Linked DNA regions of Oryza sativa Japonica Group. The protein of the gene in region 2 binds, or shares a complex with, the protein of the main gene of each other region. Links are inferred from orthologs where the notes say so. Each region holds a gene or a part of one and is shown on either strand. Other genes may lie near its edges.

Region 1 (3,453 bases), on a different chromosome or scaffold from region 2:
TTTTTTTCTTTTTATTTGCTGTCATCTCTTATTAGTTTTTGCTTCAGTGGCAATTGTAGCCTTGTAATATGCTTTTCTGTCCTGTTAATAGAAGAATAATTTAGATAGATATTTGGAAGCTCATTTGGACGGTGGAGCACACAGGTATTAGAAATGATGTGCTGGGGCTGAATGGCTGATGCTTTTGCTAGTACTGCTGGTAATGATATATATTAATCAGTACCATTCTGAATTTATTAGTCTGGTTGAGTCGTGCTGCTGACAGTGAGGTGTTCACTGATAAAATGTGTACTTTCTTTTATATTCTTTATTTGCCGACATTCTGTATCTCTTGTTCACGAGATGTGCCGGATGTAAATATGAAAGTGATGCATGGCTGATTACTTTTTGACCGTGAAGAAGAATTAATGAAGCTTATGCACACTAGGCGGTTCCTCCATACTGCTGAATGGCTGTTCATTAAGGCCCTGACAAGTGACAAGGTCACAGACTGACAGTTACTTCTTGAGGTCAAGGAGGTTAATGTAGTTTATCAGGATTAGGTTGCAAACTGACAAGGAAGATATTGTCCGTTGTGTTTCTACTCTTGGTGTCAAGTCGATCCTCACAGGATCACGGTCGTGGCATTGCTGGTCCTTGGTAGAACAAGGTAGGGCAAGCGCAATGTTGTGATCTGGGACCTTTCAAATCAGATCCTAGTGATTGTCCCCTGGTTATAAAGAACTGCATGTTACGGTTACTGCATGATTAGTTAGGCATAAGCATGTGACGAGGATCCTCGTCGTGATATTCCGTCCATTTTTCAATGTTGATCAAGCGTGGCAGATCTCCTGCTGATCTGCCAGCAACTGTTGCTAGGTTCAGAGTTTGCTTGATCTTGTTTAAGCTCTTCATCGGCGTTTTTTATGTTTGAAGTCATCGTTTAATGGCATACTACTACTATACTAGTGATGTCCTGTAGTGCATTAGAAAATACAGAATGGGCCACATACTCAAACACTGTTACCGGTTGACCAAAACAAGGCATATATCGAAATTCACACACTGCAGACTTGCAGTTGTTGACTCATGTAACTTTACCCTTCTCTTAGGCCGTGTTTAGTTCACCCCCAACTCAACGGTTTTGATGGGCCTAAGGCCCAAATCAACGGTTTTGATGGGCCTAAGGCCTGAAACCATGTCGAACAGTTCGATGGGCCGAACCATGACGAGAAAGCCCACCTGCGACACTGGACAGCAACGGCAGCCAGCCACAGCCAACTCGCCTTATCCCGTAATCCATCCATGGCATAAAGCTCCCTCCTCAGCTCCCACCTCCGTCTCCGCGCACGCTCCAATGGCGGCCACGGCTGTGACCCTGCCGTCCTCGCCGGCCCCCTTCCCCGTCACCACCACCGCCTCCTCCTCCCGTAACGTCCGCCTCCTCCTCCGCTCCCCGCCTCCTCGCCGAGCCCTCCGCGTCGCCGCCTCCGCCGCGGCCGACGCGCCACCCAAGCCGGCGCCGCCGCCGACCTCGCCTTCGGGCATCGTCCTCGTCGACCCCACCGAGGCACAGAAGGTGCACCGCCTCAAGGCTGTATACGACCAGAAGGTGGTCCCCCTCATCACCGAGGAGTTCGGCTACACCAATGTCCACCAGGTGTTCGACCTCTGTCTCCCTTCTCGCAATTATAGGATAGACATGGCCATTTCTTTGCGGAACTCGGGAAATTCGATTGTTGTTCAATAATTGAGCTTAGAGGAGTGTGTTTTGGATTCTCGATTTTATTCAGGTGCCCAAGGTTGAGAAGATTGTAGTGAATTGCGGGTTGGGGGCTGAAGCCGGTAACTCCAAGGGGCTCGAATCCGCCATGAAGGACCTCGCCATGATCACCGGCCAGTGGCCCGTCAAGACGAAGGCCAAGAAGTCCGTCGCCAGTTTCAAGATCCGCGAGGGGAACACCATTGGTATTGCCGTTACGCTCCGCGGCAGGGTGAGTCCTCTGTACCTCTGGCTACTTGCGATGCAGACATTGACAAATTGGGGACTGCAATGTTGTATCAATTTGGGATTTGCATGACAGTATAATAGCCTAAAGTATGTGTGAGAATTGCAATTACTCCATCCAGTTCCAAATTATTGTCACCGTTGGCCGTCAGTATTTTACATTGACCACAAATTTTAAATGGTTGGACGAACGAAAGTTTAATACCTATCTATGTGGAGTAACAACCTTTAATAATATGGCATATTTTTAGGTATATGCATTTTATTTTCTAAAAAATATAAGTGATCAAAGTTCAAATATGAATAGTATCCAGTGACAAGTATTTGGGAACCTAGGGAATATGTTTGATCGATGAGCTTATTTTGGCTTGCTGCAGGTAATGTTCAACTTCCTGGATAGGCTCATCAACCTTGGGCTTCCTAGGACCATGGACTTCCTTGGTGTCAACCCCAACAGCTTTGATGGCCATGGCAACTTCACCATAGGCCTTCGTGATCAGGGCGTGTTCCCGGAGATCCCGTACGAGGTCGGTGGGAAGAAGAATGGAATGGACGTCTGCATCGTCACCACCGCGAAGACCGACAACGAGGCTCTCAGGCTGCTCACCCTCCTTGGCATGCCGTTCGCGGAGCACATCAAGTCCTCCGTGGTGATCCGGAAGAAGAGGTTGAAGCGCCACCACTTCATGAGCAAGGGCAGGGGAAGACGGTGATTGCAAACCGCTGCCTAGGCACGTTGAGCTTTGCTTCTCACTTTGTCAATTGTCATTGTTTTTGCAAAGTTTCGTTTAGAAGTTTGATGATTTTGTTATCTTGTCACGTGCTGTATTTACTGTCAGAAGACAAAATGAAAAGGCTTTGCTTTGGTCAGGTCATTCGCAGATGAGCACTCATAAATGAATTGGGTGTAAAGAGATTATCCGGCAGCATTTTCAAACTGCTTAACTTTACTCACTAAACCACATCATATATATCTCTTTGGTCCCAAGCATCTCATAGCCCAGGCCATTACCCACACCATACTATCATCCTATATCAGTATTTCAGTAGCTACACGTTGGCAATTCAGGCGGACCGATGACGAGCTCTTCTTCAGGGAAGGCGCATGGCTTGCCCGCCGCCCCGAGCTCCGGGCACGGCACCGGCGAGACGTCGGAGGCGACACCCTTGACATCGGTGCAGTTCCATTGCAGCTTCTTGGCGTCCGGCGCGAGCTGCGCGGTGACGTTGGACATGCAGATGCCAGTGTAGGGGTCGTTGGGAATCCCCTCCATCCTGCCGGCCATGGTGACGTTCTCCGCGAACACGTCGCTGTAGTTGATGCCGGTGACCTCCGGCAGAGCGTTGGGGTCGGAGGAGTTGTCCGGGTGCTGGCCGTAGTTGCCGGTCATCCAGAACACCCACTTCATGGTGTGGAGGCTGAGGCCGCGGACGAACACGTCCTTGACGTAGCCGCCGCGCCCCAC
Region 2 (3,926 bases):
AAAAAAAGAACTACTACATAACACTATACTGTTACAACAGAATACCTTATGGTGCTAACATCAGCACAGGATCGTAGGTATCATATTTGTATGTGCACTGGATCTGGTACTACCAGACACGATATCCATTAATACCACATTATCAGACTCTCGTATTGGTTCCTATTTCCTTCGTCCCATAAAAAATCAATTTCTAGGAATGAATCCGGACAACATTCTTAGGACATTCACAGTGCGCTACATATTTTTGCCGTTCCTCATATGCCACGTAGACGAAGAACCTGTTAAGCTTCATCCTCTACAATGCAAGTACTAGTAGTGGGTCCCACCGGTACAGTTTTTTCAATTTTCATCTCTCAATCTCTCTCTCTCCTCTGTTTCTTTTCTCATCCGAAATCTTTCATCCCCCAATCTCTCACTCTATTTCTTTTCTCACCAGGGCATCCGAGGCGCTGGGGCTGAGCGGCGGCGGCTGTCAGGGCAGCCCGAGCTGCGACGGTGCCGGACGGCGAGCTCCCATCCTCATCATTGGATACGGTGGCGGTCGCAGCCTCTTCGTCGATGGCGCCTTCCTCTCTCTCTCTCCCCGTGGCTGTGGCGACAATGCGCTCGCTGTCGACGCTGCGCGAAGCCACTCGTGTGAGGCTCCGCCCTCCACAACACGACAACTCACCTTTCTCCCTGCTTTCTTCGTTTGAAGAACGAGTATCCATGTTTGGGTACGAGAACCTTATTTGGCTCCGCGTACTGTCAATGCGGCGCCGAATATTCAGTTCTTGGCTATGGGGCTGAACGTCACATCCTTCTACTGTGAACACTCTTAGAAGTTGTATCTTTTGGGATAGAGAGTGTAGGTACTCTGATGGTACGGCCAGACATTTCTGATACTCTCGCAACTAACAGATTATGGGTAATGGTTCGTAGTATTTTTAAAAAGTAAATAGCACTACATTATCGGTGGTTCTTTTGGACCGTACCCAGTAACGGCGAAATCGTGAGCTTTTGGGCCCAATCCGACGCCCGCGGCGCCGCAGCGCACCACCCTCCCCCAACCGTCTCCCCCGCGCGCGCGGGCACACACGGCTCGGCTAATCCAAAATAGCCCAAATCGCACGAGTCCTCCCCCGTCCCCCGCGACGCGCGAGCGAGAGAGAGCCCTATCCGCTGCGCGCTTCGCCCGCTCGCCTCGCCCTCGCCTCACCGGCTATTATAACACTCTCGCGCTGCCACTTCGCCTTTTCCTCCCCTTTCTATCCTCCACCTCGGCTTATCTCCTCCCCCCTCCCCACCACCACCACCACCACCATGGCCACAGCCGCTTCCCTCTCCGCCACCGCCTCCTCCCTCCTCGCCCCCGCCCCCGCCACCACCGGCGCCGCGGCGGCGCAGTGCTGCTCCTCCTCGTCCACCGCGCTGTTCCCCACCCCCGTCCCGTCGCTGCGCGCCTACTACCCGCGCCTGCTCCTCGCGTTCCGCCGCCCCGCCGTCGCCGCCGTCGCAGACCCGCAGGGCGCCGTGCTCGAGGAGGAGCAGGGGGAGCAGCAGGACGAGGGGCAGGAGCAGTACGACGACGACGACTACGACGACGGGTACGAGGGCGGACGCGGCCCCGCGTTCACGCCCCCCACCCGCCCGCGCACCGGCAAGGCCGCCCTTCCGCTCAAGCGCGACCGCGTATGCCCCCCCCGAATCCAGCCTCCCCCCCGCGTGTTCATCCATTCGTGTTGATTTTTGGATTGACGCTGACGCCGCGTTCGCCTTTTTTTTGATGGGTTTGCAGACGAGGTCGAAGCGATTCCTGGAGATACAGAAGCTGAGGGAGAGCAAGAAGGAGCACGACGTGCCCACGGCCATCTCGCTGGTGAAGCAGATGGCCAGCGCCCGATTCGTCGAGTCCGCTGAGGCGCACTTCCGCATGAACCTCGACCCCAAGTACAACGACCAGCAGCTCCGCGCCACGGTTATTGCTCTTTCTCTCTGCTGTTGCCATTGTTACGTACGTTCTGTTCTGGCTTGTGTTTTATCAATCGTTTTTGATGATATTGGATCGGTTTTGGTGATGATGTGCAGGTTAATTTGCCCAAGGGGACGGGCCAGTCGGTGAAGATTGCGGTCCTCACACAAGGTGGGTTGCAATTACATTTTGGAGATTGTTATCGCAGCACCAATTCCAATTGCAATCTTTGGTGCATGGATTGATTAGGTCACTGCTAGTTGTGTCTTTTAGGTGTGGTTTGCCTGCTTGATCATGTGGTTATTTACGGTTCATTAAATTGGAAGCACGCTGTTATATAGTGAATTGAAATGGAAGTATGTGAATGCGCGCTAGTCACTAAAGTGGTGCACTAATCACTAGCACTATGTAATGGCTATTGTCAAATATCCTTGCAGGTGAGAAGATAGATCAAGCAAGAGCTGCAGGAGCTGATATTGTCGGTGGAGATGACCTGATTGACCAAATAAAAGGAGGATTTATGGAATTTGACAAGCTGATTGCATCACCTGATATGATGCCTAAGGTATGGCATTAGCTGCATAACTCATGTCTAAAACAATTCCAAGCATTATGAAGACTTGTCTTTTTGCATGTCTCCGACATAGTTTATCCCACATCCAAATGAACACGTTATGTTTCAGTGTTATTAGGAACCACAAAACCAGGCAACATTTAGTTGTATTGATCAGATATTGTTTTCTTATCATTACCTGCCATATCTGATCCATCCCTTCATATTACAAGTGTCTAGCATTTACGATTATGATTTGAGCCATAATGGAGATATGCAAATTTGGTTCACTCAGAGAAAATAGATTCGATAAGCAAATAAGGTTCTACTGTTTTGAATTGGTACATTCTTCGGAAGTTTGGATGCAGTTCTGCAATAAGTGTTGAGCTCCATGCAAGACCTGCATGGAAGTTTTAAAGGTGTGCTACTAGCTCGGCATATTATGTTGTTGATTTTGGTCTTTTGCTTCACAGGTCGCCGGATTGGGAAAGATTCTAGGACCGAGAGGACTTATGCCTAACCCCAAAGCTGGGACTGTTTCTCCAAACATAACTCAGGTACAATGGAAATTCTACAGATTACTATATGTATTGACACTGTTGCTTGTGGTTTTCTCTCCCATTTGCTTGGTTATTGTGACCCTGAGTGAAAGGTGGGTAACTGTCCATTTACCTTCTTTGATCCTTGGTGAACTTCTGTTTTATCCTCGTTCAATGCAATAGGCAGAACTCCTGCCCTTTTGTTCAAAGAAGTTGTCCATTTACGTCATCTCAGTACTTACCTCATAGATGCACTTCTGGGAGAAAACCTACTGATATATTGCTACCTTGTTTAGTAGTCTTCATTGTGTGTGCAATATATTTCAGTGGTTCGATTTTCAGACATGTTGATAGACATTTTTTTAACCTTGTTATTCGTAGATAGAAGGTTTGAAATTTTGTTTGTGCCAACTGAATTTGAGGATATGCATGGATGCATAGCTCCATCGTTCGTTTGTTGGCTTATCAACGGCAGCCAAAATCTGGATTTTGAAACTTAATTTAGAATTGATTTTGAGGGGTTTTTTTTATTGTGCTTTATTCTCCAGTGCTGGCTTTTGAATCGCTAAGAACATAGATATAGACGTTTTACTCAAAAGTTATTTTTGGTTGCTTCGTCATTTTTCCACGGCTTATCAGCCATAGAGCAAATGATCGTGTAATGACTGATGATGATGGTAATCTGCTACTTAGCCTGCATAGTGCCTCCGTAACAGTTATGTAAAGCATCACAACAAATCTGCAAAATAGAGAAAACAGGTAAAGTAGGCTACTTGACTGTTAGGAACAACCATCATTTATAACGGTTAACTGAAGGACAGGAGTGGGAGCATTTGTGAAAAATCTAGCCCTTTAGGTAATGAACTGGGCTATATTGTGC
Region 3 (3,767 bases), on a different chromosome or scaffold from region 2:
CCTCAAACGCATCTAGGTAATGCACACTGCTGTACTTTGCCTTCAGCGCATCCAACAAGACCACGTTGATGCCCTCTCCCGCAACATACACCTGCCTTCCTCCTCCATTGAGTCTCTCCTCAATCCTTCTTCTGAGGTTCCCATCATTGCCACCAACATGAACAGAGTCAAAATCTACTTGCATCCTTGATATGATACCATCAACAATGTCCATCAAGCTTGGCGCCGTGCGTATTGCTCCCTGCGGTGGACGGAGGACATGCTCAGCTTCGCCCTCGCACACATTGTACCAATAATTCCCTGGCTCCACGTCCCCAAATTTCCTAACGATCAGGGGATCCCTCGACTTGGAGAACTTGGTGGGCGCAACCCTGCTGTCCTCGATGATGCGGACTCCAAGCTGACCCTGTGCTCCCCACTTGTCCCAATCCTCCCAGAACCGCTTGTGTTCAACGATCCCGACCACGGATTGCAGGTGCTCAATGTCAATATAGAAGGCGAGGCGCTTGCCCTCCTCGGGCATGCCCCCGGCGTAGGCGGCGGCGAGACAGACGCTGAGATCGAGGACGAGGGTGCGGTTGAGGTAGCGGGCCTCGGCGATGGAGCAGAGGAGACTACGAAGATAATGCGGCATGGGCTTGCACCGGTCGCCGCCGCCAAGGTAAGAGAGGTACTTGCCCGCGGCGAACTGGGAGCGCGAGAGCGCGGGTGGGGGCGGCGGGGCGGTGGCGTTGGTCCCGCCGCGGCGGGGCTTGCGGGCGAGGGGGCCGGAGTGGTATTCCCCGATGGAGGTAACGGAGTAGGCGCAGGTGACGGGGTCGCGGGCGACGGAGAAGCGGCGGTAGTCCTTGTAGTTGGCGGAGGCGGTGGATCGGGCGCGCCAGGCCATGTCGCAGGAGGACGACGGCGGGTCGCCGGGGACGGGGCGGCCGAAGCGGTTGAAGTGGACGTCGGGGAAGGCGTCGATGGCGCGGCGCATCATGAGGTGGAAGAGCTGCGGGTCGGCGCAGTCGAGCGTGGAGGTGGTGTCGCAGCTGGCCTGATCCTGCTGCTCCAGGTGGGACGTGGTGGGCGTCAAGGCGGCGGTGGGAGGGGAGAGGGAGATGGGGAGGTTGCGGAGGGTGAGGAAGAGGAAGGCGACGAGCAAGAGGGCGGCGGCGGCGTGGGCGGAGGAGGTGATGAGGGCGCCCCGCCCCAGCAACGGCCGGCTCGGGTCCATCCGGCGACGGCGACGGCCGACGGCGATGAGATCTGGTGGCTGATTGTGTAATAAAGCCCCGTCTGCAGGCGGCGGACGGTGGTGAACTTGTTTCTAGGAAGACGACGAACTGTTCCTCTTAATGGGCCTAACATGAGTGGGCCTAAGACGAAGGCCCATGATTTGGCCCAAGAATCGCATCTCGTCGTGGATAAGACGATAAAGCAACATTGTGTGGGGATAGCCATAGCCCTGCACCGCACCTCGACTCCCCAAACATGGCGCTCGCCCTCGTCTCGCCAATGGCGGCTCTCTCACTCCACTCCGGGAGGATCTCAGCGGCGGCTATCGGCGGCGGCCTCCGCTCTCGCAGGGCATCCCCGATGGGCGCCGCCGCCACCCCGTTCCTCCGGAGCTCCTTCGTCTCCTCCTCCTCCACGTCATCCGCCTCCGCCTCCCCCGCCGCGCTCTCTGCCGCGGTCTCGGCGTCGCTGACCTTCACCTCTGCCTCCTCATTTGCTGGTGAGAATGTGTACTTTACTCGTTCCTGATTCGCTTCGTTCTGTTGCTACCATTTGGGTTGGGGAACTAGATGGAGGAGAGAGTTGCCTGCAAAGAGAAAGGGAGGAATGAACTTTTGTGCTGCTGGTTTCGGCTTTAAGTACTGTACAATGGAGTGTTTATACTGTCAGATAGGTAGCGTGTACAGTTAATCAGTGCTTAATGTCAGAAGATAACTAAACTAAACTAGCGATTTTAATGCAATTGATATATTTGAAAGTTCTGATGGTATTCTGGCAATTTCCTGAGAAATCTTAAATTCAAACTCTGCCGTACTTGTTAGCTGCTGTACGCAGCTTGTTATAATCTGCAATGTCTGATCCTAAAGCCCACGCATTCTTATAGTTAACCATGTGCTAGAGAATTTTGCTTAAGATGTGGATTCCGATTAAGATTAAAAAAAATCACTTGTTTACACATCCAGTTTTTTAGTGTAAGAACGTGTATATATATTCATAATTCAGTGATTAGTTCTAGATGGTTCCATGTTAGGAAACCTACACGGCTGAAAGTTTCTTTTCTTCCTCCATGTACTGTGATACTGATATTGTGATTTCCAGTAGTGCCAGATGGACTGTAGATTGTAGTACATTCTTGCGACAGAATCATGAAAACATCACAAAAACTCAGGAAACTCCACTTTTTGGAGCGAGCGCATGAGCTTAATTTAGTAAACTCATTATGAAATATATCATCTAACATAATTATACTACGAACTAACGAAATCACTGAATCAAGAACGTTTAACTGGACAACTCAACTTTTTAAACAGTTCAGTTACAATTAATAGCCTTGCCACCTAAAGCAAAACCAAAATGCTCCTAAAACAAGCCAATAACGTTAGATTAAAGGAACTATTGCAATGATATTATCCTTTTGGAAAATGAACTGTACTTTACATACTAGAGTTTTTTTCCAAATGATCTTAGAGAACAAAAACACAAACTAAGGGCAATCAAATAGCCGGTTTCTGTGCTGTACTGTTGTATTTAGCAAATCCATGTTCTTATGTATCAAACCATATTTGTTCCAACCTACAAATGATTTCAGTATCCTAATATGTTACATATTTCAGGTTCATCTTTGGGAATTGAATTCAGCTACAACAGAGTTACAACAGGAAGATCCCGGATTCTGCAGATTAGGGCTGGAAAGGCTGCTCTGTGCATGACCAAGAGAAATAGATCTAGGAAGTCGCTTGCCCGTACACATGGTTTTCGCAGACGGATGAGGACTACTGCCGGAAGAAAGGTCCTGAAGCGCAGACGCGCCAAAGGAAGAAGGGTTCTCTGCACAAAGACGAACTCCCCCACTGGGAAGAAACGAATGTTCTGATTGAATCGCATTCTAAGTCGCTCTTTGTCACAATTGTAAGTGTATTTTTTTATCCCACGTTCTCGGTTATACTCAACCATAACAATTGGTGCAAATCCTTCACCCGGTGTCCGGTTAATGTGTGAAGTACATTATCAACACAAATTCAAGTTAGCCTTTTTGCTTGTGCAGTATTTAGTAGTTGTTTGCTGTGGGAATATGTTCTCCTTGATCTGCATTGCCATGGTTTTCCTCTGATCTATCTTGACTGCATTCTGAGCATAGATTTTGCCAAAGGGCCTAAATGCTAACTTGAGCAGTTGCTCAAATAAACTCATCAATTTTTCTATTCTGTAGTAGAACGTCCCTTTTATTTTCTGATACAGTCCAGTGAATTTTAATATTCAGATCATCTCATCATAGTCACTCCATGCTCCACTGTGTAACACAATTTATCCACCTCCTCTGTGCCAATCTCTTTGGTACACACTTATTTGTAAAACAACCTGATTGCCCATCCAATCCTCTGTCACCTTATAATTTTGCTACTATCAGGCGAAAAAATGGATAATATCCAGAACTCAACCTGGAATAAATGAAAGGCAACAAGTAGCAAAGAGAACATTTACATTCTAACAAACTGAATCCCTCCTCTTCTTCACTCGCATCGGCAAGCCGCCTTCCATCCTCAAGG
Region 4 (3,039 bases), on a different chromosome or scaffold from region 2:
ATAAATTTTACAACCACATCAACAGGAAGGGCATCAGAAAAAAAATCGAAAATGGCACTCTTCAGATTGTTCACATCGTGCCTGACAAAGTGGCAAACAACAAACAAACCCGAATTTGCTCCAGTTATTTCCTTGTCCAGGTTGATCCTTTGTGCTTTAATCAACATCAGGTCAGACGAAAGAGTTGTGAGAGGCCCTAACAAAACACATCATGGAAGTGTATATACAGGCAAATACCTCACAAATATAGAGTGCAGCACAGCAAGGCTTCTTGAAATTTGCTATGATTTTGAGTTTTTGACAAACACAGAAGGCATCAAGGTGCATATGATATTTCCACTATGGGAACACACATTAGATTTAGTGGTACTTCTGTAGGACAGCTAAAGCCTAAAGGAGAAAAAGGAGGGACATGTTAGAAGAAAATTTGTTCAGTACTGGGCTTTGTGTGTTTTTAACGGTGACCGGTTTATCCATTATCTAAAAAATACAAGATGAAATTTCATCGGGAAAGAAATAATCACATTTTGCAAACATTGTGTTTCATATTTTGAACAGCAAAATTCGCTGGGCATCAGCTTAGGAAATACAGAGACGGATGAACAGAACATAGAGGTGTACAGAAGAACAGCGACCGACATCACTGCTGGTTAGACGTTCTTGAGCTTCTTCATCTTGGATGGTGGCCATCTACCTTTCTTCCTCAGCCGCCTCTTCTGGACAAGCCTCCTGCGCCGCTGCCTCAGCTTCTTGGCCAGCTTCATCTTCGCCCTCTGCTCCATGATCATCTTCTGCTTAGTTTCGAGCGGCATTGTCTCAATCGAAACCGTGGGTTTTGGCTCCTCTGGTTGATCTGTGCCAGCTTCTTCTGCGCCAGCCTCTGCCGAGGCATGGACAGAAACTAGCCTCTTCTTGGTGAAAGAAGCATTCAGAGGGCTCTGCGAGGAGAGATTCTTGCACTGGAGCCTTGGGGCTGTAGCATCAGAAAGGACAAATGGCAAGCCTCAATGTGCATCATTTTAGATATAGAATTCAGAGTACATGCATGCTACTTTCAAAATTTTGATAGAATCTCCGTCATATAAGAAACTTGAAAGCTAATAAGTCTAGCTCATGTGTGCCACTTCATGGATAGTATATAGTACAATAACTAGTAACAATCCTAGTGTTCTCAATTACATATTATGATGAATCTTAGCAGAGCACAGATATGTAAAATCTACTCATCTATTAACAATCAGGCCCCAAATGTAGGGTGTACTACGAATGTCACCCTTTGCCAGTGACCGGTGCTTACATAGCATCTGATATTATCATTTAAGCACGAAAGAACCAAAGCTTCGAGAATCTGCAGAGTTCACTGAGATGAATTATACCTAGCTTTGTACAGAGATGATAAATGCACGGAATCTCCCACGAATTACTGCATCTGCACACGACGTGTTTGAAGAAATTCCCTAACGAGCCAACCGCATCCCAGAGAATCAGAAACGCCACGAATCACCAACGTCAAATATCTAGACCAATCCTCCCACCGAATTACAAATCACACCTCACAACAATGGATAGCCTCGTACCCACTCAGCATAATCCAATCCAAGAACCAACACCCCACAACCCGAGTAACTTATGCGCAAAAGTCCCGGTACGGAGAAGGCGTTCACGGAGGTTACCGGGGATGGTGGAGGCGACATTGGCGGAGGCGGGGAGAGCTCTGGCGCGAGGCGGGGAGGCGGAGGAGGAGGCGAGGAAGGAGACGGTCGGGGAGAGGAGCAGCGCCATGGCCACGGGCAGTGTGGGATTCGGCTTCTTGGCCCGTCGTCAGCCTATCCACCCATCAGCCCGGAGGGAGGAGATAAGCCTGTGCTGCTGTGAGCGCTCCGCCGTCCGATGGAGAATCAACGGCCAGATTTAATCTCCGTCAAGTAAGGCTGCTTGGCAGTTGGCCCACATGTCATAGGTGGAGAGAAATTTTGATTTTGATTTTCTTTTTCTCCTCTCGCCGCCTCCGCCGCCGCCGCGGGTGGCGGCGACAATCCGCATCGGCGGCGTCCCCTCCGCCCGGCCGCGCTCGCCGTCGCGTCCTACGCCGCCGCCGGCCGCCACATCCTGCGTTCGACGTGGATAGCAAGAGGTGGGGGAGCTCGCCGACGACAAGAACCTCCCGTTCGACGGCCAAGCGGGTGCCCATCGGTGATGAGAAGAGCAGCTAGCGACAACCTCTTCGTCTCCCACTCCAAGCCGAAGCACGCGCCGGCGCCGCCGTGTACCGCATCAAGAATGTCTCCTCCTCGTCGTCGCCGTCGCCGTCGCCGTCGCCGGCGTAGAGCAGTTTCAGCATCGAGGACGAGGAGGTGTCTGTACAGGAGCTGCTGCCAATGGTTGATCCGGGTCGTCAGCTCTCGTGCGCCATTGGGGATGGAAGCTTCTGCTCCTTCAGCTCGCGGACACCCATCAAGATTATGGAGCGTGCAGAGATCCTCCAGCCGAGCGTAGCTTCGACATGGACATCAATGCTGCCGGAGAGGAGGATGAGGATGATGCACGAGCCATCGTTGTATCAGTGTCAGAGAAGATTTACAGAATCTACGACAAGTCTCGCAGGCTGGCTCGCAGGGTTCAAATTTCCGGTTCGACCAAAGTTTTTTTTATTCTTTTGTGTGAATTTAGTAATATTTATTCAAATTTGACCAAATTTTGTTCGAAAATTCAAATAATTCTGGACCAAATTTCGGTATATCAGCACCCCAATACAAATACTGAAAACGAAAAATTGAACCATGGGCTCGCCAAGCGCCACTGATTGCTACATTGTTTATCTAAGAAAGCTTTGAGTGGGGTCGGAGACGCCTTGCGACAACATTGGCAAACTCCTCTTTGTGGGAACGACGACGACAGTTGGAGATGGTACAAAAGCGAAATTCTGGGACTTTGCTTGGTTGCAAGGGAGAAGGCTTAAGGAAGTTGGCCCCTCTGGTCTAAGCGACTTTCTGGAAGAAAAACAGAACTCTACAGTAGGCCACCAAATCTGGCCAATGG
Region 5 (2,659 bases), on a different chromosome or scaffold from region 2:
CGGCAAGGAAGATGACGGTTCTAGACGCCGCTCCCCTCCAGTGCGGGGATTAGGCTTAGCGCTCCCCTCCATCTTTCACCGGCGGCGTGGGGTCTGTGACCGCCACTCCCCTCCAACGCATGGGTTGGGCTCGGCGCTTCCCTCCACCTTCCACCAGCGATGCAGGGTTCATGACCGTCACTCCCCTCCAGCTCCACCTCCCTTCATTGGGTATTAAGCTTGCAATCGTCACCGGATTGGCAACGCCCTCATCGAAGAAGCTCTCTCCGTGCAGTCGTCGACGAGCCTGAGAACCGCCAGATTTTCGCCTGAGTTGAAGAAGAAACTGATCTGCGTTGTGCGGTGTTGAGCTAACAGAGGTATTGACAGTTGTTGTAACGGAGTGGCATAGCTCAAATTTTGCAAAATTTCAGTGGCATGAACCTGATATCGTGAATAGTAATGGCAAATTGGTAAACTTGCAATAACATGATCCAATTAACCCATATCTTTGGGGAGGCTAATGCGCACGTACGTGCTAGCAATTTAGCTGGCGCCCGCGTCAGTTGGCCCCCTCCCCTGTTCCCGCGTGCTTTTCTTTCTCACTTTTTTTTTACGATTTTGGCGCCTGGATCCGGGTGCGTTTTTCTTTTTTTTCGCCATTTCTTTCTATTTTTTTAATCTTTCGCACACCCCTTTACAAATGTAGAGTTGAAAGTTTTAAATTTTGACTTCAAAGTTTTTAAATTTGACTTGAAAGTTTTCAAATCTGAGTTGAAAGTTTTAAATTTGAGTTGAATTTTTTCAATTTGAGATGAAAAGTTGAAAGTTTTCAAAATTTGACTTTAAAAAAAATTCAAATTTCGAGTTGAAAGTTTTCAAATATGGGTTGAAAGTTTTCAGAATTTGACTTGATGTATAAATTTCTTTTCAATCTGTTACTTTAAAAAATTTTCGGAAAAAACAAATCTTATCTTGATTATCTAAAACTAATGTATTTTTTTACACGCTAAAACTAATGGACTAGTTACTACATGCGCTATGGAAAGAATCTAACCGCGCCCGTGCGGTGCCGTGCATACGCGTGGGCCAGAAGTGCGCGCCCGCGGCGCGTATGCGAGAATTAGGAATTCTGCATATTTTTACCACGTAAACGAAATAATTGCATACATTTTTTTTTCTGGGCCAGTAAGTAACCAACGTGTATCAGCCCAAACCAAACAACAATTAAGAAAGCCCAGCCAAAGCGAGGCAGGCGAGCGGCCACCCGCACGGCACCAAAGCCTCAAAAATTGAGAATCATCAACGCTTGAGAGGATAACACACACCAGAAACCGATAAGGGACACGAAACAGGGGAATCCGGAGCAAAGTGCGACGCGAGCGCGCGAGGAAGCAGCAGCCATGGCGCTCTCCCTCTCCACCTCCTTCCTCCCGACCCAAGCCGCCGCGGCGGCCACGAGGACCACCCTCCGCTCCCTCGTCCCCTCCCAGGTACGATTCCTTCGATGCCCCCACAACCGCGTAGGCGTAGCGCCGCCGAATCGGAGATTCGGAGGAGGTGATTGGAACTGGGCGGTGGTGTGACGATTTGCCGTGCAGAGGATGCGGTGCTCGATGCGGAAGAAGGGGCTGCACCCGGAGATCTACGAGGACGCGAAGGTGTACTGCAACGGGGAGCTGGTGCTGGTGACGGGGGGAACCAAGCCGGAGTACACGGTGGACGTGTGGTCGGGGAACCACCCCTACTACGTCGGCGACACGTCGGCGATGGTCGTCATGGACAGCCAGATCGAGAAGTTCCGCAAGAAGTGGGGCCACATCAAGGAGTACTGGCCCGAGGACCAGTGGAGGGAGATGCACCCCGACGGCGACCCGGAGTTCGACCCGGAGGAGGAGGGATCCGCCGGCGCCAGCTGAGCCCCCGCTTCGCCTCTCGCCTCCGCCGCCGGCCTCGCCGGTGCGGTTTCTCTTGGTTGATTTTGGGAATTGCGTAAAATGGATTAGCTCCTCTTGCTTGCGCCTCTCGTTACACGTGCATTCGCATTGCTCTCTAGGTGTTCGATCGGTGTTCTCAGTGGATACGTGTGATCATATTTGTGGTATCGAACTGTTTGTTCTCTGCCTGTACTCTTTGACATCGATATAAAATGGAGATATTGCAATTTGCACACTCTGTAATTGGACATTTCCAACTCGTTGAATCGATGCATGCTAGTGTTGGTCTGGGCTCTCGAATAGAATCGTTGCATACATCAGTTTGTCCGGTCTTCAGAATAAGCAGTAAGGGGCTGTTAGTTCACGTACTAACATTGCTAAGGTTTACCATGTTTTCTCGCTAAAGTTGAGGCCATCAAAATCCAAGCCACGCTCTAGCCAATAAAGGCTATGTTTAGTTCCCAAAAACTTTTCGCAAAAACATCACATCGAATCTTTGGACACATATACGAAGCATTAAATATAGATAAAAAAAATTAATTACACAGTTTACATGTAAATCGCGAGACGAATCTTTTGAGTCTAATTAGTCTATGATTAGCCATAAGTGCTACGGTAACCCACATGTGCTAATGACGGCTTGATTAGGCTCAAAAGATTCGTCTCGTGGTTTCCAGTAACCCACATGTGCTAATGATGGCTTAATTAGGCTCAAAAGATTCGTCTCGTGGTTTCTAGGCGAG
Region 6 (3,811 bases), on a different chromosome or scaffold from region 2:
CATCTTCGTCTCATGGGATCTGGACAGGTGTCAGGTTTCCCTCGCGGAGCAAAACGCAAGCAGAAAACTGTGGTTTGCTTACGATCACCTGGATTTGATATTTGCGTGCCATATCTGCTATGTTGATTCTCAGCCGTCAGCACGAGCTCTTGAGCTTTCATGTTATCAATGGCAAATCAGATTTGTTTTTTCCTTTTTCTGACTATAATCTTTTAGCACTATATATTTGTATTTTTTTTCCTACTATATCAATAGAAACATCGCTATCTTTTAGCACTATATATTTGTATTTTTTTCCTACTATATCAATAGAAACATCGCTGCGGGTTGTTTCAAAAAAAAAATTGCTAAGCTTGTTTCTTTTATGATACTCCTATCTTACTACTCCTTAAAAAAAAGAACTTATCAATCATTCATGGGTTTTATATGTACATCTCATCTATATTTCTATATGGAAATGGACCAAATTAGTCAATGGTTGCGAATAATAGCTCAGGACAGGGGACAGCAACAACATTACAAAATCATTTGTATGAGCGAATGTAGCTGAACCATTCTAGTAGCTGGTTAACAAGCCAAGCATGTCATTGGATACAAAAAAATGTTGGCAACTGTATAGAAATTTACAAGACTCTGAAATCTGAATCTAGAAAAGCATCAACTCATTTGGGCATACAAAAAGTGCAGTTCAGAAAATGTGCAGGACTCCCATGCTACCATGATCACTCCGAACTTCCTTCCTTGAACACCTTGACCCAATTCTCAGCACTGTCAATTATTTCACCAGTCTTGACCAGGTACCGAACCTTCGTTCCATCCTCAAGGAATTTGTGTCCAACCCTACTCGCCACATTCTTTTCCTTTGAGTAGAGCATCACATTTGAGCTGTGAATGGGGCCTTCAATCTGATCAAAGAAAACACCAACAACCATAGGTTAACGATCAGGCATCTGAAACTATATATACGACACTAGCTAGAAGCAGCACAGAAAGAAGTTTCAAGAGAAACAATGCTGACCATGACGATTTCACCCGGTTCATCTTCTGTTCCTTTCTTGTGCTTGGACTTCAAGTTCAAGTCCTTCACTATTACAGTGCTGTTGTGCTTAAAAAGCCGCGTAACTTCTCCAACTTTACCTTTCTCACGGCCTGCAATGACTTGTACTGTATCGCCAATCCTAACATGCATCTTGTGCAGGACAGGAAGACTGTTTGGTTTACACTTCTTCCTCTCCCATCGCTTAAGCTGCATTGGAAAAAGGGAAATTTCAGACATTTGAGTAAATAGCAAGCTGCAGACCAAAAAAGAATTGAAACTTACCCTCATTTGAATTGGGCATGTCTTGATCATAAATTTAACCTGCATATAAAAATTTATGCATATCTTGTCAGAGTTTCTTATGAAAATGACATAAAATGTAATAATCAGCTGCTTTTGAGATATGACATGAATCATGCTCACGATGTTTCTTAGGCAAGAATATCTAGGATAATCATATGATCTTTTAGTACGAGTTTCTTCATATAAGTGCAGATTTTAGTACAGTTCATCATATAAGTGCCATATATAGCTCAGTCACTCCATTCAAGAGCAATTATTCGGCCTTATTTTCTCTCATCACCACTTTCCAGGTAAGTAATTAGTCGTGAGTGAGTCTCATTCTGAGGACGAAGTGCAGTAGACTATCTAGAAGAGCTAAGGAACGCCAAAAAGAATATACAAAAGATAGAACAAGTTCAGTCTGATAAGTATACCGAGTGTGCCAATCATTTGCTACAGGCTATCCCCGAGTGAAATGAGTTTCCATCATTTTCCCATGGAAGTCTTCTGTGAAATTTCTACTGTTGAGTAATTTAAAGTTCAAAGGCAAAATTGTTTCTAGCCAGCGAAATGTGATCTATACAGCAGGTTAGAACAAGAAATGGTCTGTCTCACTAGAGGGCACATCTTTCAGAAAAATAATCCTCTGCTTGAAAGGCTGAATATTGGGTATCCATCGCTTATACCACCATAGGAAAAAAATAATATTCAAGTTTAAACTGAAACATAACAGGCCACATCCCATGGTAGACAACACAATTTCTAACTTCTGAATTCACTCAGTTGATATACTCAAACTTGAGATTTCAAGCATTCATTAATTCATATAAACCCTCCTTATACTAGCCAACTAGGTTCAACTATACCACAAAATCCTTGAGACCTTTTCTCTAAAAAAAATATACCACAAAATTTTGACACAACGTTGGTTGTTGGCTAGTTGAGGTCCTGAGCCTGAACTCCTGAAGGCAACAACAGTACAGTGAGGCGATGTAGACATCACCATTGCAATGCCACGCTGTTGGTGAGCTCTAAAATCCTAAATCTCAGTGCAAGCTGGCATTTCTACTTTTCCAGCGAATCATAAGAGCAGAGCAAACATAAAGGAATGCGAAAAATGAGAATCAGGGTTGGGAGTCGGCACAAACCCCAGCCGGCGCGGCGGCGAAGGTGGAGAGCGGGTGGCCCCAGAAGCTGCTGGTGCTCGCCGCCCCCGGCGCAGAGATGGAGAGGGACGCCATCGCGCCCTGCAACGCCGCCACCCCGGCCATCTTCGTCTCCTCCCCTCCTCTTCCTCCCTCGCTCGCTCAAACCGCAGAGAAGCAGCAGAGGATAACGAACGCCTTCGTGTGCTCGCGGACAGGATAATGGCGAGCGCTTTTCTACATGACAAATGGGCCTCTAGGCCGAATGGATTGGCCCACTTGTAAGACTCATAAAGGCCTAATGAAAGGCCTATCGTAATCCAGCCCAACTACAACGGACCTTACGGCCCAAGTCAGCCGCGATCCCGTTCAGGCTCAAATATAGCGGGCCTCACGTAAGCCGCAATCCCGTCTCGACCCAACAAGAACAGGTCGCACCTACACAGATAAAATCTATTGTACATTTCTCATCTCTGCTCCTGATTGAATTACCTCCCTCAACCGCAAAATGGAGGAAAATCGGTCTTATTGTTTGGTTATGCTTATATTTATGAGCCAAAATTTGAATTTGAGAACTTAGTTTTGAATTTGCTTTTTTGTTTTTTTAAAATGCTTATATTTTACAACATTTGCTTTAAGTTATTATGGACATATATAAACATTTTACTCATAAATAAATTTTTATTTGCTAATAAACGATTCGAATAAGCGAAAACCGTAGCAGATCAACCCTTAGATGGTTTGTAGGGTGGTTCCTGTTGACGTGGCAGGCTGACTCGCAGAGAACATGAGGGAGGCAAAATAGACTTACTATCACGCACGTCAGCAATCCGGTTAAGGCCCAAATGTCGTGGGCCGCTCGTCGTCCGCAATCCCGTTTGTGGTCAAGTAACGTGGGCCGAACGTCCTGGGTTGATATGGGCCGACACCCGTTTTCGGATAAGGCCCAGCCCAGCATACGCTCGTCGTCTTCCTCGTTGCGTTGCGTGGCTTCGTCTCCACACGCATCATCACCACGCCACGCGCCGCGAGATGCTGCTTCGGCGGGGGCGCCCAGGCGTGGCGCCTCCCGGATTCCGGCGGCTTCGACGTCGCCGGCGACGCGCGCAAGCCAAGCGACAGTTGCGGAGGCAAGCAACCCCCCAAGTTCCGTCCCTTTTGCGCTTTTCTGGGACCCATTTCCTCTCTCTTTTGGGGGGCGCTTTCGCGGTGACGACGCTGCCGATGCGCGTACGCCTGAGGAGTTCTTCCCCATCACGCCGCGTGGGGGATCGGGACGTCGCCATTTCCGCTGCCGTTTTCTTCTCTTTGGGGGGTTGCAATCTCGCGTTTCATTTGATAGGGT
Region 7 (4,191 bases), about 19 Mb from region 2:
TCAGTTCTCTGTTCTCACACGCCGACGAGTTCATTCGTCCACCACGAAAGGAGCTCCTCTGACTTAAAGTTAGAAGGATATGAGTCCTTGACAGGTGCGGCCCACCTTTATAGGCCCACATGTTAGAGATGCATGTCCCTTTGACTTAAGTTAGAGGAGCCTTGTCGGTCCACCACACACCAACACTGGTAGGACAGACAACAATCCTCCACACCGCCTGCGAGAGGGTCCTCTTCCTGTCTTCCTGGCCATCAAGGAGGAGAGAATCAACTCCACATCTTCTCGGGTGACCTCTTTGATAGCTCCTTCGGCGAGGGATGGGTGGGCGGAAGTCAAGGAGGCTGTTCTTGAAGACGGAAAAGAGAAGTAGGGGCCGGCTCGACCTCGACCCGGTGTTGCGATGTCGTCGCGAGCATGCCGGTCTGTCTCCTCCGAGAGCTCCACTGTCTCCACTTCAAAAGCCATCAACGAGGAGGAGCCCAAGAGCGATGTGGAGGAGTATGAGGAAGAGGAGGAGGTGGACCAGTGGGTAGAAGTGTGCTATCTGGAATGGAGGTTGATGCGAAGGGGATCTGGAAGTGGGAGCCAGACTTTTGCTACTGTCCCCATCTTGGATGCTCGCGAGAATGTGTGGGAGTTGGTGGTGTGCGACACGACATTGTCCCTCTAGTTCACTTGCTTCTTCCCCAACACCTCCATCAACAACGTCACCCTCCGCATGCGTACTCATCTTCATCACTACCGCTTGAGCTCAAGTTTTGCCGCCACCACCGCAGCACCCCCTTCCCATCCCCGCGGCTCCTCACACTCCTGACACGACTGGGCTTTCCTGCAGATAGCTCATGAGCTCGAACTCGCCGGCTCCCTCACCTACCTCCTCTTCTCCCCCGTCGTGGACCACTGGAGCCACCTCATCACTGACCTCCCACCACCATTACCACCTCCCGTGGATGGGCTCGCTGGCCGCCGCCCCTCTCCCCACTGGAGGAGATGGGAAAGAGAGGGGGGAGGTGGAGAGATGGGGAAGAGAGGGGACAGGTTGGGAGGAAGTCCACTTTAAATTTTAATTTTCTGATTGGTATGCCACGTTAGTGAAACCAGTCATCCATAATACCATGAGACTGACTTGGAAGGTTTTTCCAAAATGGGGGGGAGGGGGTGAAGATTGCTGGTATTGCGGTTTAGAGATACCATTAAACTCGACGTAAAATAAGGGATAATAAGTGGACTTATCACTGTGAGTAATACTAGTAGTAATGAGAGTTGGGCTTGGGCCGCCCTTTTCTACAGTACTACGATATATGGGCCCCTGCTCACACAGTACATAGAGAGACGATTATGATAGGATAGGAGAAACAAGTTGTACGCCACGCCGCAGCCGCACAAGACTTGATCCTCTTCTTCTTCTTCTTCTTCCTCCAGGCTCCAGTGGCGATGGCGACCATGCTCTGCTCCTTCACGCCCGCCACCAGGGCTCCGCTCCTTCGCACTTCCTCCTCCTCTTCCTCTCTCGGCTTCGCCACCTCGCAACTCGCCGGCCTCAGCCTCGGCCTCTCCGCCGCAGCCACCACCGCGCCCTCCGCCGCCGGTCCCAAGCTCCACCCCATCCTCGCGCGTACGTCATCTGCCTCCTCCTTCTTCTCTCTGTTTCGAGCCATCCACCCGCAGATTGACATTACAGTTTTATATTACACCACCAATGTCATTTCTGCTACTATTAAAGTTGTTACTTTATCCTTCGTTTTTTTTTTGCGCTATCCAATACTCCACTGTATATATACTACTACTAGAACCAGATGACCTATTTGTTAGTAATTGATTGCTTTAATCTCTCGAAAATAGACTAGCTGTCAATCTATTACCATAAACTCAGATCTTTCTTTGTATTTTTAAGAGAATGGAAGCTTTATTGAATTTGGTCGTTCTTTGCACCATGTCAGTGCACAACCAATAGATACCACACAACAAGAAAAACAGAACTAACTCAACGATTAAGGACCTAATATCGGAAGACTAGGTTGCCGCTCATGTGCCTGGGTAAAAAAAAAAAACCTTGACCACATGCTCCAAATGAAGACAAGCCGAACAGACAAAACCCCTGTAATCTGGCTTCTTGAGAATAATCCATGATCGGAGCCAATGTGTGATCAAGAAAATAACCTGCAAAGAAGAAGAAACAATTTTCCTGTCAAAAATCACATCATTCCTTTATAGCCAAATAGCCCAACAAGTCAACTCCTAGTAGAAAAGGAGGCCTAGACTCTTTGTTTTGTCGCAAACTCCATTGTCCAGACATATGTGACACACTCCTAGGTGAAGAAATGTTCGATGCAATCTGGATTAAAGACCAAACTGATCGGGCTAGCCGACATTCAAAAAATAAATGCTTTATCGTTTCTTCCTTGTGGTAAAAACAATAGGTCTTATTCCCTTTTCAATTCCGTTTAGCCAGGTTATCTTTTGTTAACACCACCCCTCGACATAAATACGATAGAAACATTTTCACTTTGAGAGGGATTTTTAACTTCTAGATATGTTTGTTAAAATTGGGAACTCTTGTATGTGCAAGATAATGAGTTTTAACCAAGAATCTTCCATCAGGTGTTAGATTCAATTTAAAGTCATCTTTCTCGTGTGACAACACTATATTAGCAATGCGTGGAAAGAGATGATTCCACGCCACTAACTTAAGGCCAATAATATCCTTGCGCCAAGTGAAATTTAACAGGGTTGTTTAGAATATATTTGAAATGGTTGCTTGTTTATGTCTGACAACCATCTCTTTGTTTCTCTAAGACATAAGCAGAGCTTCTTCTTCTTACTAGTGTATATAAGAAAGAAGGGGGAAAAGAAAAAATATAACTATTCTGGCCATTTCAAGTTATAGTTTTAGTTTTATTCTAAGTCAACCATTCATAACTTTAACTATCAATTTCTTATTTAAAAAGATAATTGTGACTTATCAATTTCTAGAAATTTGTAAAGTTTAACAACATGTTAATTGTACTATATATTATGAAGGTACTTTTCATGATGCATATATAAACACATAAATATTATGATATTAAATGTTTGGCTTATGATAAAGTTAAGGACAAGTAATTTAAAAGGGTGAGATTATACTTTATCTTTTGTTTGCATGATGCCACAAATTATAGAAACTAGTAGTAGTAGGAACAAGATGGCGTGTATGGTGATGTTGTTGTATGATGTGGGGGTGGGTGACTCAGGCCGGATATGCCCCTTCACGGACAAGAAGACCAACAGGGCGAACAAGGTGTCCTTCTCAAACCACAAGACGAAGAAGCAGCAGTTTGTGAACCTGCAGTACAAGAAGCTGTGGTGGGAGGAAGGCAAGCGCTTCGTCAAGCTGCGTCTCTCCACCAAAGCCCTCAAGACCATCGAGAAGCATGGCCTCGACGCCGTCGCCAAAAAGGCCGGCATCGACCTCAACAAGAAATAAATCAAATCATCATCATCATGATGCATACATACATGTATTCTCTCATCAATTGCCGCTGTGCTGAATAGACCAGAGCTGTATGTAGTCCATTATTAAATCCATTCATCTCGATGATGCAATTTATTGTAGAGTACTACAGTATGCATTCATCGGTGGTGGTGGCCGGCTTCGTTTCCTTAAATTTCCTTTTATCCCGTGTTGCTGCTGCAAGTCCGGCTCGAATTGTTTGCTACTAGTGTTTCATTTCGGTCGAGTTCCTAATTAATACTGTATGTTGGTTACGAATTATAAGATGGATGGATGTAACTTGAGCAGCATCAGGTCGTGCAGTTGGCATCTTGCGCTTTTCACTTTAGAGTGTCTTCCAGTCTAAGCTGAAATTGATTAATTATTTTATTTCCTTTTTGGCTATTGATATTTAATAAGAGCCTAAATGAAAGAATTAACTTGTACAAAATTGAAAAGCTGTTTGTTTTGTACAAAAGGAACTCCTACGCCAATATTGATTGTTCTACTGCTATGGCCTGTCTGGTTTGAGATAGCTGAAATTGATGGATTGTTTTATTCCCCTTTTTAGCTATTGATATTTAATAAGAGCCTAAATGAATAATGAACCCCTACAAAATTAGAAGGTTGTTTTTTTTCTCTCTAAAAATGTAGAGACGAGAAAAAGGTGTTGAGTTGTAGACGTGGAGCAACCCGGCAGCTCCACACACGCGCAACCTCTG

Evidence for each region.
Region 1: large ribosomal subunit protein uL1c (region 2) and large ribosomal subunit protein uL5c share a complex: the UniProt entries of both Arabidopsis thaliana proteins name them as parts of the 50S ribosomal subunit. The link is inferred for Oryza sativa Japonica Group from reciprocal best matches to the Arabidopsis thaliana genes EMB3126 and AT4G01310.
Region 3: large ribosomal subunit protein uL1c (region 2) and large ribosomal subunit protein bL34c share a complex: the UniProt entries of both Arabidopsis thaliana proteins name them as parts of the 50S ribosomal subunit. The link is inferred for Oryza sativa Japonica Group from reciprocal best matches to the Arabidopsis thaliana genes EMB3126 and AT1G29070.
Region 4: large ribosomal subunit protein uL1c (region 2) and large ribosomal subunit protein cL37 share a complex: the UniProt entries of both Arabidopsis thaliana proteins name them as parts of the 50S ribosomal subunit. The link is inferred for Oryza sativa Japonica Group from reciprocal best matches to the Arabidopsis thaliana genes EMB3126 and PSRP5.
Region 5: large ribosomal subunit protein uL1c (region 2) and uncharacterized protein share a complex: the UniProt entries of both Arabidopsis thaliana proteins name them as parts of the 50S ribosomal subunit. The link is inferred for Oryza sativa Japonica Group from reciprocal best matches to the Arabidopsis thaliana genes EMB3126 and emb2184.
Region 6: large ribosomal subunit protein uL1c (region 2) and 50S ribosomal protein L24, chloroplastic share a complex: the UniProt entries of both Arabidopsis thaliana proteins name them as parts of the 50S ribosomal subunit. The link is inferred for Oryza sativa Japonica Group from reciprocal best matches to the Arabidopsis thaliana genes EMB3126 and RPL24.
Region 7: large ribosomal subunit protein uL1c (region 2) and large ribosomal subunit protein bL28c share a complex: the UniProt entries of both Arabidopsis thaliana proteins name them as parts of the 50S ribosomal subunit. The link is inferred for Oryza sativa Japonica Group from reciprocal best matches to the Arabidopsis thaliana genes EMB3126 and PRPL28.

The regions. Positions count from the first base shown.
Region 1 is NC_089037.1:1,440,999-1,444,451, reverse strand, and holds large ribosomal subunit protein uL5c, read left to right. Parts: upstream 1-1,268; 5' UTR 1,269-1,336; coding exon 1,337-1,639; intron 1,640-1,772; coding exon 1,773-1,973; intron 1,974-2,364; coding exon 2,365-2,700; 3' UTR 2,701-2,953; downstream 2,954-3,453. Other genes in the region: probable polygalacturonase, read right to left, coding at 3,031-3,453. UniProt on the Arabidopsis thaliana protein: Binds 5S rRNA, forms part of the central protuberance of the 50S subunit.
Region 2 is NC_089039.1:18,889,852-18,893,777, forward strand, and holds the start of large ribosomal subunit protein uL1c, read left to right. Parts: upstream 1-1,126; 5' UTR 1,127-1,305; coding exon 1,306-1,674; intron 1,675-1,780; coding exon 1,781-1,960; intron 1,961-2,070; coding exon 2,071-2,125; intron 2,126-2,391; coding exon 2,392-2,519; intron 2,520-2,980; coding exon 2,981-3,064; intron 3,065-3,926. UniProt on the Arabidopsis thaliana protein: This protein binds directly to 23S ribosomal RNA.
Region 3 is NC_089035.1:34,740,188-34,743,954, reverse strand, and holds large ribosomal subunit protein bL34c, read left to right. Parts: upstream 1-1,452; 5' UTR 1,453-1,476; coding exon 1,477-1,720; intron 1,721-2,833; exon of another isoform or gene 2,834-2,834; coding exon 2,835-3,094; 3' UTR 3,095-3,267; downstream 3,268-3,767. Other genes in the region: uncharacterized protein, read right to left, coding at 1-1,219. UniProt on the Arabidopsis thaliana protein: This protein binds directly to 23S ribosomal RNA.
Region 4 is NC_089035.1:9,871,258-9,874,296, reverse strand, and holds large ribosomal subunit protein cL37, read right to left. Parts: upstream 1,829-3,039; 5' UTR 1,783-1,828; coding exon 1,674-1,782; intron 974-1,673; coding exon 651-973; 3' UTR 501-650; downstream 1-500.
Region 5 is NC_089035.1:25,929,496-25,932,154, reverse strand, and holds uncharacterized protein, read left to right. Parts: upstream 1-1,298; 5' UTR 1,299-1,382; coding exon 1,383-1,472; intron 1,473-1,580; coding exon 1,581-1,898; 3' UTR 1,899-2,159; downstream 2,160-2,659. UniProt on the Arabidopsis thaliana protein: Binds the 23S rRNA.
Region 6 is NC_089040.1:29,338,661-29,342,471, forward strand, and holds 50S ribosomal protein L24, chloroplastic, read right to left. Parts: upstream 2,673-3,811; 5' UTR 2,593-2,672; coding exon 2,470-2,592; intron 1,361-2,469; coding exon 1,322-1,360; intron 1,247-1,321; coding exon 1,019-1,246; intron 906-1,018; coding exon 723-905; 3' UTR 501-722; downstream 1-500. UniProt on the Arabidopsis thaliana protein: One of two assembly initiator proteins, it binds directly to the 5'-end of the 23S rRNA, where it nucleates assembly of the 50S subunit. Required for optimal plastid performance in terms of photosynthesis and growth.
Region 7 is NC_089039.1:104,682-108,872, reverse strand, and holds large ribosomal subunit protein bL28c, read left to right. Parts: upstream 1-1,391; 5' UTR 1,392-1,434; coding exon 1,435-1,615; intron 1,616-3,230; coding exon 3,231-3,463; 3' UTR 3,464-3,780; downstream 3,781-4,191.